2 linked regions of the Daphnia pulex genome follow. The main gene of each other region encodes a partner of the protein of the gene in region 2 in a complex. Links are inferred from orthologs where the notes say so. Each region holds a gene or a part of one and is shown on either strand. Other genes may lie near its edges.

The links. Proteins that work in one complex are often made in the same cells at the same time.
Region 1: DNA replication licensing factor mcm7-like (region 2) and protein downstream neighbor of son homolog share a complex: the UniProt entries of both Homo sapiens proteins name them as parts of the replisome complex. The link is inferred for Daphnia pulex from reciprocal best matches to the Homo sapiens genes MCM7 and DONSON.

What each region holds. Positions count from the first base shown.
Region 1 is NC_060027.1:2,499,414-2,503,455, reverse strand, and holds protein downstream neighbor of son homolog, read left to right. Parts: upstream 1-1,234; coding exon 1,235-1,425; intron 1,426-1,488; coding exon 1,489-1,765; intron 1,766-1,797; exon of another isoform or gene 1,798-1,827; coding exon 1,828-2,251; intron 2,252-2,620; coding exon 2,621-2,804; exon of another isoform or gene 2,805-2,805; intron 2,806-2,868; coding exon 2,869-3,082; intron 3,083-3,143; coding exon 3,144-3,461; 3' UTR 3,462-3,660; downstream 3,661-4,042. Other genes in the region: uncharacterized protein LOC124208003, read right to left, coding at 1-296, 362-491, 550-584. UniProt on the Homo sapiens protein: Replisome component that maintains genome stability by protecting stalled or damaged replication forks.
Region 2 is NC_060025.1:5,067,350-5,071,619, reverse strand, and holds the start of DNA replication licensing factor mcm7-like, read left to right. Parts: upstream 1-1,463; 5' UTR 1,464-1,579; coding exon 1,580-1,616; intron 1,617-1,672; coding exon 1,673-1,773; intron 1,774-1,829; coding exon 1,830-2,089; intron 2,090-2,152; coding exon 2,153-2,223; intron 2,224-2,290; coding exon 2,291-2,400; intron 2,401-2,465; coding exon 2,466-2,603; intron 2,604-2,670; coding exon 2,671-2,853; intron 2,854-2,914; coding exon 2,915-3,135; intron 3,136-3,251; coding exon 3,252-3,328; intron 3,329-3,391; coding exon 3,392-3,603; intron 3,604-3,666; coding exon 3,667-4,081; intron 4,082-4,143; coding exon 4,144-4,244; intron 4,245-4,270. Other genes in the region: single-stranded DNA-binding protein, mitochondrial-like, read right to left, coding at 1-80, 136-255, 318-489. UniProt on the Homo sapiens protein: Acts as a component of the MCM2-7 complex (MCM complex) which is the replicative helicase essential for 'once per cell cycle' DNA replication initiation and elongation in eukaryotic cells.

The sequences.
Region 1 (4,042 bases), on a different chromosome or scaffold from region 2:
AGTATACCGTGCCTCTTGACACGCTCAATGTGCAAATCAAACAGCAGCTTGTTGGGCGTGTAGTAGTGAGGGTTGGAGTGAACATCCATGTCTGGTGAATAGGTGTCATCGTGAATAAACTGTTGATGCTGGGGAGTTCTTTCACGTGACATTTCATTGGGAATGTTCAGCAGGTCTGGAAGAGGAAGTGCTTGCCGAGTGATCCCATAGAGATTGGGGTTGCACAAGGAACATTGTATCACACTGCTGGAAGTGCTTGGTTGCAGACGGCATTCACAGATGGAAGATCCAGTAGGCTAAAGCAAACAACACAGAATATGAATTTAGCCAATGATTGTACTCCATGACCTAGAAAACTTACAGTGTATGATGGTGTGGTTTCCGAGTTCAAATTACTACCATTTAAATGCAGGTTGTTGATTCTTTTAGACAGTGGCATGAAGTCACATGCATCCGGATCACCATCACTGAGTTGACGTTTTCTCCTGTGACTGATGGTAAGGAATCACTGACATTGTTTGTATAGAAAGCATGGGAAAGCAGATTTACCATCCAGTCTCATTGTTATAATCAGATTCGTCCATAGTATTAAACGATATTGAAAAGCCTTCGATTAATTCGACGTTGTCCTTTTCTTACGAAAAAAAAACTTGTAATACGTTTACAAGACTTCAAAGATCCATATGACCTCCTAGGAAACACAAAGAAATGCATTCAATTCAATTTTAAACAGGATATCAAAAGTGTATAGGCATACAGACACAGAATATGGTTTTCAGATACTTTTGGATCTGAGCTGAGCAGAGACAAAGGAATACCACGAGTTTAACTTAAACTTTTTTTAACGTTAAGGCCTCGTACTTTCGTGTTTGTCATGAAACGTGAAATCATTTCCAACGGGAAGTTGTCTGCTATTAGGGGATAAGATTCCGATATGAAATACGCATCGCCCAAACCATTGAAATACTAAAAAGTAAAAACGCATAAAAAAATTTATTTTAATTTATTTCAGTCTCCTATCATATCTTAAAGCTTCCGCTGCTTTTAATTAAATTTTTATTTGGTGATTTTGAAAATGCTTGAAGCCGCCTTTCGTCAGATGACTGAACTTAGCAGAAGAAATGGCGCTCGTGTTCAATTCTTGTCCACAACTCGTAGAACGAAACGTCCGACAAGATATCAATCAAGTGTTGAATAATAGTCTTATAAATCTGTGGTAATAAACTAAATAAAGATGTCAGGGTCTGTTTGGAAAAAGCCTGACGAAGTTATGAGGCAGATGAGGGATAAGAAAAAAGCCCTCCAAGCACGATTCAGTCATGCATCCACCACGACAGCAACAAATAATTTAGATAATGACGAAGCCTTGGCCCCCACATCGTCCTCGTCAGCAACTGCCTCTGTAAAGAGAAAGAATCCTTTCAGGTATAGTGTAAAATGATGGTATTTTCTCGTCAAAAAATGTCTAACTGTTGCACATCTTGACAGACGCTCCCCAGCCAAGAGGCCAAAACTTCTTACAGTCACTCAAGATGACCAGAGAAATGCAAGTGCCAATGTAGATTTCATGAGCATGTTAAATGCCCCCAATGTAAAAGCTGATACCAATAAAGAGTTGGCTGTGGAACTACCGCAAGCTCTGTCAATATTCACTGCAGTAACACCTGTTTGCCAGAAAGTTGATCAGTGTCCTGTTGATTGGTCCTTAAAGACCAGGGTACGCTTCACCTCCAAATCACCTTTTGCCTTCAGCTCTACTCTCAAAGTATGTTTATCTATATCAAGCAACAAAAATACCAGATTTTATGATTCAGCTTTTCGTCGCAGACGTCCGAGGAGGCTTCTGGAATCACAGGTTTCGTGAGATGCGTCAGCTCTCTCAAATCCGACGAGTGGAGCACGTTGGACACGTCAACAAATGCGCAATTTCATCAATGCTGCTTGTTGTGGCAATATCCTTGGCTGCCTTGGTTATCTTTATTCCCTCGGGACACACGAGCCCCTATCACTTCCACCAGCTCTGTCCAAATCGGCATGGACTCGAGCGTGTCAAATTGCCTGATCAACGACTGGTGTGAAAGCTTTCGCTCTCTTTTCGGACTATTGCGCGCGAGGCAATGCCCATTCTTCTATGTCTGTACTCATCAATTCACCGTTCTCTTTCGAGCTGCTGGAATAGGAGGAGTTGCAGAAATCCATGCTCTATTAACCCCTACCACGCGTGGGATGCGAGAAGTTTTGCGACGAGAAGGTATTAAGGACAGCGATATTTAGTTCATTGGATAAAATCAATCACATGTGTGCCAGGATTGAATGACACATCCATTTTTTCTTTTTTTTTCTTAGCGTTAGTTTGCTATTACGTTTGCTTTTTTATTCTTCTTTTTACTATGCAAAACTTTGAATCAAGAATATTCCATAATTGAATGAGATTTCTAGAGAGAAAATTCGTAGAAAGTACTAGAAGACTTTATAAAACTTGATTTCTTGGAACGTATCAGTTACCATCCGGAGATCGTATTACGATCGTGGTTTCCGATTCGAGTACAAGAAAACAAAAACAAGAAGAAACTTTTGAAAGTGTCTAGAATTTCATTTTCATCTTGATATTTTAATATAGATATCTCATACTCGATGCCGTTGAAGAAAAGTGGTCAAGATCAAACGAACCCTGTGAATAATGATGAAGATGATGAAACCAAAGAAGCTGACAAAGTTGGCGATCTTGATGACGAAGATTGTGACGAAGATGATGCTGACTGGATCAACGATATCGGCCTGCATTCAAATCTCAGATCAAAATTGTGAGACTAATTAATGATTTGCAGATTTTCAACATAAATTCAAATGTCGTTAACATTTTCGTAGGGAGGCTGAAAGGTTGCAGGATGGAGGGCAAGGAACAAGCCAAGGCACCTATGCGGACTCGCTCCTTTTGATCGAAGGTGTTGAGACGCAGGGACTGTTCAACTGGCTTCTAAACAGCAAACTGTGTCTGTCCAGCACTGGCCCATTGACTGGAATTCCTCCAACTCTATTCAGTCCCGTCGCTTTCCATCAGGCCACACTCCGACCCCTCAAGGTAACCGAGTGTCAAAGCATTTCGAAATCTACCATTTCACAATATTGTTTTTCTACCCAAGGCCCGACAAGGTTTTCTGAAGCAAGACGGAGAAAATCTCTACTCCATCGAAGTTCAGGGTCCGATCCTACCCCACTCGATGGTATCGCTAATGAAACTGCTGCAAAGCAGCGATTTCACGGCTGTCTGGACTACGCTATCCAGCACCAAGCCCTTCGCATCATTCCAAAGTTCGACCGCCGCCACTTCTGCATTCGGTAAGGAAAGTTTGAGTGATTGTGGTCTTGACCGGACGAGCCTCGATCTGTTTTGCTCATCACAACTCCCGCCATCCGCTAGCGAGATCCGCTTTCAAGATGGATGTTTTTACTTTAACTAAGAGATAGATCTCTTCTCATTTTTAAAACGTCGAATAAGTGTGTTTTTAAATCATGCTCACTCTACAGTCCAGTTGAATAACAAGTCTGTCAAGAAATCAAATCTTGCCAAATCATGTTATCTTACGACTGATCTCATAATGGTACCATATAAAATGTGAACTTATTGCCGAATGCAATGAATAGATAGTAAAACAATGATTTGGACGAATGTTATGTGACGTTGACTCTGGAAGGGGATATTAACGCAAGTTATGACCATAACTGAATTCTTGTTTGATCAGAGTTAATTGCAATTTTTATCGATTGCGCATTAGCTTGAATTCAACATTCAAAAAGTGGTCCGATAACGTAAAAATAAGAGCTAGAAATTTAAGGTTTTATATAATCACAACTTTTTTCAGTCTGTTCACGGTCCAAGGATTCAACAAGCCAGTCGTGGGAGTGCTTGTGGGGTCATTGCGTGCGATAATACGTAATTAAATCAGTTCAGTATGGCAAAGAAATGTCGTCTCTGAAATAGCCTGTGATTGCAAAATCGTGAAATTATATATTTGTTCGTTGACTTTAAAGCAGAGCAAAA
Region 2 (4,270 bases):
AGTGTACTTTAATATCGAGTCTCTCAGGTAAGGTTTAAACACACAAATTCTGTGCCACTCAGTCTTCTGGTTGACATCTCCTTTAGGAAAACAAATCAGTTTAAAATATTTTGAATTAAATTTCAATTAACAAACCATTGGGATAACTATAGTTTGAGTTTGTAGCCAAAGAAAATGTAACAACTGGATGTTCCAAAGAACCACGTTTAACAGGATTTGAGCCAACTCTACCCAACAGAGTCACCGAATTAATAGCTACATAAAAGAACATTAGAACCTAAATACTATATAAATGAATGTAATCTTTTAAAACTAACTTTTTTCCACACCAACTGTAAGAGGGGTAGTTTCGCCAGTGTTGTTGTTTGTAAGGTGAGTTCTCCATTCATCAGAATCAACTTGTTTGCGACATGACAAATATATTTGTCGACTCAACGCAAATCTAGACATATTTGAAATGAAACGACTTCCTGATTTCAACGTTAACATTTCTTTTCTTTCTTATTTATCTGGAGAGACGAAGAGAAAAACTGTATTTTATTTTTTTAAGATTACACTTGTGTTAAAAAAAATTTCTGGATTTTGAGGAGTTTGTTAATTATTACCAATAACAATGTTGCCACATAAAACAATCATTCCATACCAGATCCATAAAAATCAAAAAAAAATTTCTAAATTAATAATCTATATCTTTTTTATGAGTTTGAAGATAGCTATGATTGATAATGATAAAACGAGTTCTCATTACCGCAGTCATTGTATTTATCGATAAAAATTGAAAATGTGCCCTTATTAACCAGGAGTATGGAGAAATGGTTGCCACTTGCCAATGATCATGTTAAATTTCCTATAAGGGGATTCGACGGGAAGCTACTTTTTTACTAGCGATTTTGTATGGAGGTCGAGTTGAATCAACGCCATCTAAGACGTTGCGACATATATACAGTCAACTCGACCTTTGAAATGGCCCCTTTGAATGTCCATATGTCGCAACAGCCTAGATGGCGTTGATTCAAAGAGGCCACCGTATCATGTCCATACAAATGTCGCTAGTAAAAAAGTAGCTTCCCGTTGAATCTCCTTATGGGAAATTTAACATGGTCATTGGCAACATCTCTCCATACTCCTGTCCATACCCATGCCTTAACCTGATTTAATACCCAGGACATAACGTGACCTGGGTTATTTTACATGATGCAAGCCTCAAGCCAGTCAAGCGGGACGGTAAATTTTTTTTAAACGCCGATCAGGCTCCAACCCCATTAAGGAAAACAACCGCTTAATAATTTGACTGATATAAGAAGAAATCCGTCCCAAAAGGTCCGGGCCACAGCGCCAATGGGATCGGGATTCGGGATACACTCTGGGGATACATAAAAAAAAAAAAAAATGAAAGCGAAGAACTACATAAATATGGCAGCAGAGCGCTGTTTGTTAGGGCTCCGTTTCGCGCCCATTTCTGCGCAGAACAATAAACCAAGTAACTTGTCAAACAGTGTTAAGCACACAGCACAGGGAGTCAGTTATTAACATAAACCGATTCTGTTAGGCAGTTATCCATCTACGATTTCCTTTTAACATGGCTCTGAATCCGGTAGATTATAACGCGCAAAAGGGTAAATTAATATCTTATTTCATTTCTATATTGGAATTATTTTTTTTTTTGTTTTAGAAAAAATTAAAACGTTTTTCGCCGAATTTCACAAAGTGGGAAAAAACGGTAAAGACTTCAAATATGCCACTCAGTTAACTAGAATTGCTCACCGTGAGCAGGTAAAGTAAAAATACATTCGCAATCGTAAATTTATTTTAAAACAAGATTGTTGTAGGTTGAACTAGTGATTGATTTGGAAGATGTTGCTGAGTTTGATGATGAATTAGCAGAACAGATAGTTGACAATGGTAGACGATACACTTTGCTGTTTGGGGAAGTTGTTCAAGAAATGCTACCCAACTATAAAGAGCATGATGTTGAAGCAAAGGATGCCCTTGATGTCTACATTAATCATCGCCTGATAGTTGAAAATCAGCACCAAAATGATGAACCAAATAGACTGCACAAGTATCCTCCAGAATTGATGCGCAGATTGTAATCTACACTAATATTTTCTTGAAATAATTAATGTCTTCTGAAGCAATCATTTTTTTTTAGTGAGGTTTATTTTAAATCTCCTTCTTTGCAGAAGGCTATACCCATTAGAGAAGTAAAAGCTGTTCATATAGGTAGGCAATTTATTATTCAGCTTAGTGATAGGCTTCTAAAAAAGTTTTCTGTACACATTCATTCTAGGTAAACTAGTGACAGTTCGTGGCATAGTAACACGTTGCACTGAAGTGAAACCAATGATGCAGGTAGCAACATATACATGTGACCAGTGTGGTGCTGAAACTTATCAACCTGTAATTTCAAAGAAGCTTACACTGATGTTATTTTCCTCTAATTCTAAATATGGTATTTTCTCTAGATTAATTCAACATCTTTTATGCCGCTGTTGATGTGTCCCACTGATGATTGCAAAGTGAATAAGAGTGGTGGTCGCTTGTATCTTCAAACTCGTGGCTCTAAATTTGTCAAGTTTCAAGAACTGAAGATACAGGAACATGTAATCTGATATTTAAAAAAAAACTTAAACTTTTACTCATAATGTAACCATTTTGTTTTGTCAAAAGAGTGATCAAGTGCCGGTTGGCCACGTACCGCGGTGCTTGACCGTCTATTGTCGGGGCGAAACAACGCGTTTGTCTCAACCTGGAGATCATGTCAGCATTACAGGCATTTTCCTTCCTATGTTGCGAGCAGGTTTTCGTCAACAAATGCAAGGACTTCTTTCCGAAGCTTATGTCGAAGCACATGTAAATATGTTAGAACTCCATTCTGAATAGTGTTCATTAGCTCTTAACTGTTTGCTGACAGAGAGTAGTTAGGTTAAACAAAACCGAAGATGACGAAATGAGCATGGAAACTCTGACAGAAGAAGAACTGCGTCAAATCGGCGAAGAAGACTTTTACGAGAAGCTTGCTACAAGCATCGCACCAGAGATTTACGGACACGAAGACGTTAAGAAAGCGCTGTTGTTGTTGCTTGTTGGTGGAATTGATCGAAAACCCAATGGCATGAAAATTCGTGGAACGATGTAAGGCTAGTTTCTTTTTATATAAATGCATGTTTTCTAAAAAAAATCATGGAATCATAACAGAATAGGAATAGTATTAAATTAATCTAATTATTTTTATTTATCTTACGTCACAGCAATATTTGTCTAATGGGAGATCCTGGTGTTGCAAAGTCACAGCTACTGAAGTTCATCGATCGTCTAGCCCCAAGAAGTATTTTAAATAGCCCAAAATGTACGTTTGAAAACAATAATAATAATTTAAAAAAAAAAATAGGTCAGTATACCACAGGACGTGGATCTTCTGGTGTCGGTTTGACTGCTGCCGTGCTGAAAGATCCAGTTACGGGTGAAATGACCCTAGAAGGAGGAGCGCTTGTGTTGGCTGATCAGGGTGTCTGTTGCATTGATGAGTTTGACAAAATGCCTGAGTCTGATCGTACGGCTATCCACGAAGTCATGGAACAACAAACTATTTCAATAGCCAAAGTAAATTCATCAAAACACTAATTTAAAATTAAGTTTTTATTTAACTTACCATTAATATTTCAGGCAGGAATCATGACTACACTTAATGCCCGTGTTTCCATACTAGCAGCTGCCAATCCCGCTTATGGTCGATATAACCCAAAAAAATCTGTTGAACATAATATTCAATTACCAGCAGCCCTTCTTTCGCGTTTTGACGTTTTATGGTTGATTCAAGATCGCTCAGACAGAGAGAATGACTTAAGGTGTAACTTTGGTTGTCTTAATTCCTTATTGAGTTTGATCTGTTACTTATTTGCCTTCTTACCCATTGAATCATTTGGCAGACTGGCACGACATATTACGTATGTTCATCAGCACTACTGTCAACCTCCTACACGCGTGCAGCCGCTTGATATGAAACTAATGAGACGGTATATTGCTCTCTGTCGTCAAAAACAGCCTTCTGTCCCAGAACATTTGACCGACTACATCGTCAGTATGGACACATCAGATTTTCCTATTAATACTAGTTGAATAATTAAAAATATTTTATAATAGGCGCTTATGTTGAAATGCGTAAAGAAGCAAGAAATAACAAAGACATGACATTCACCTCGGCCCGTAATTTATTGGGTATTCTGCGTTTATCAACAGCATTGGTAATTATACTTATGTTATTTACGCC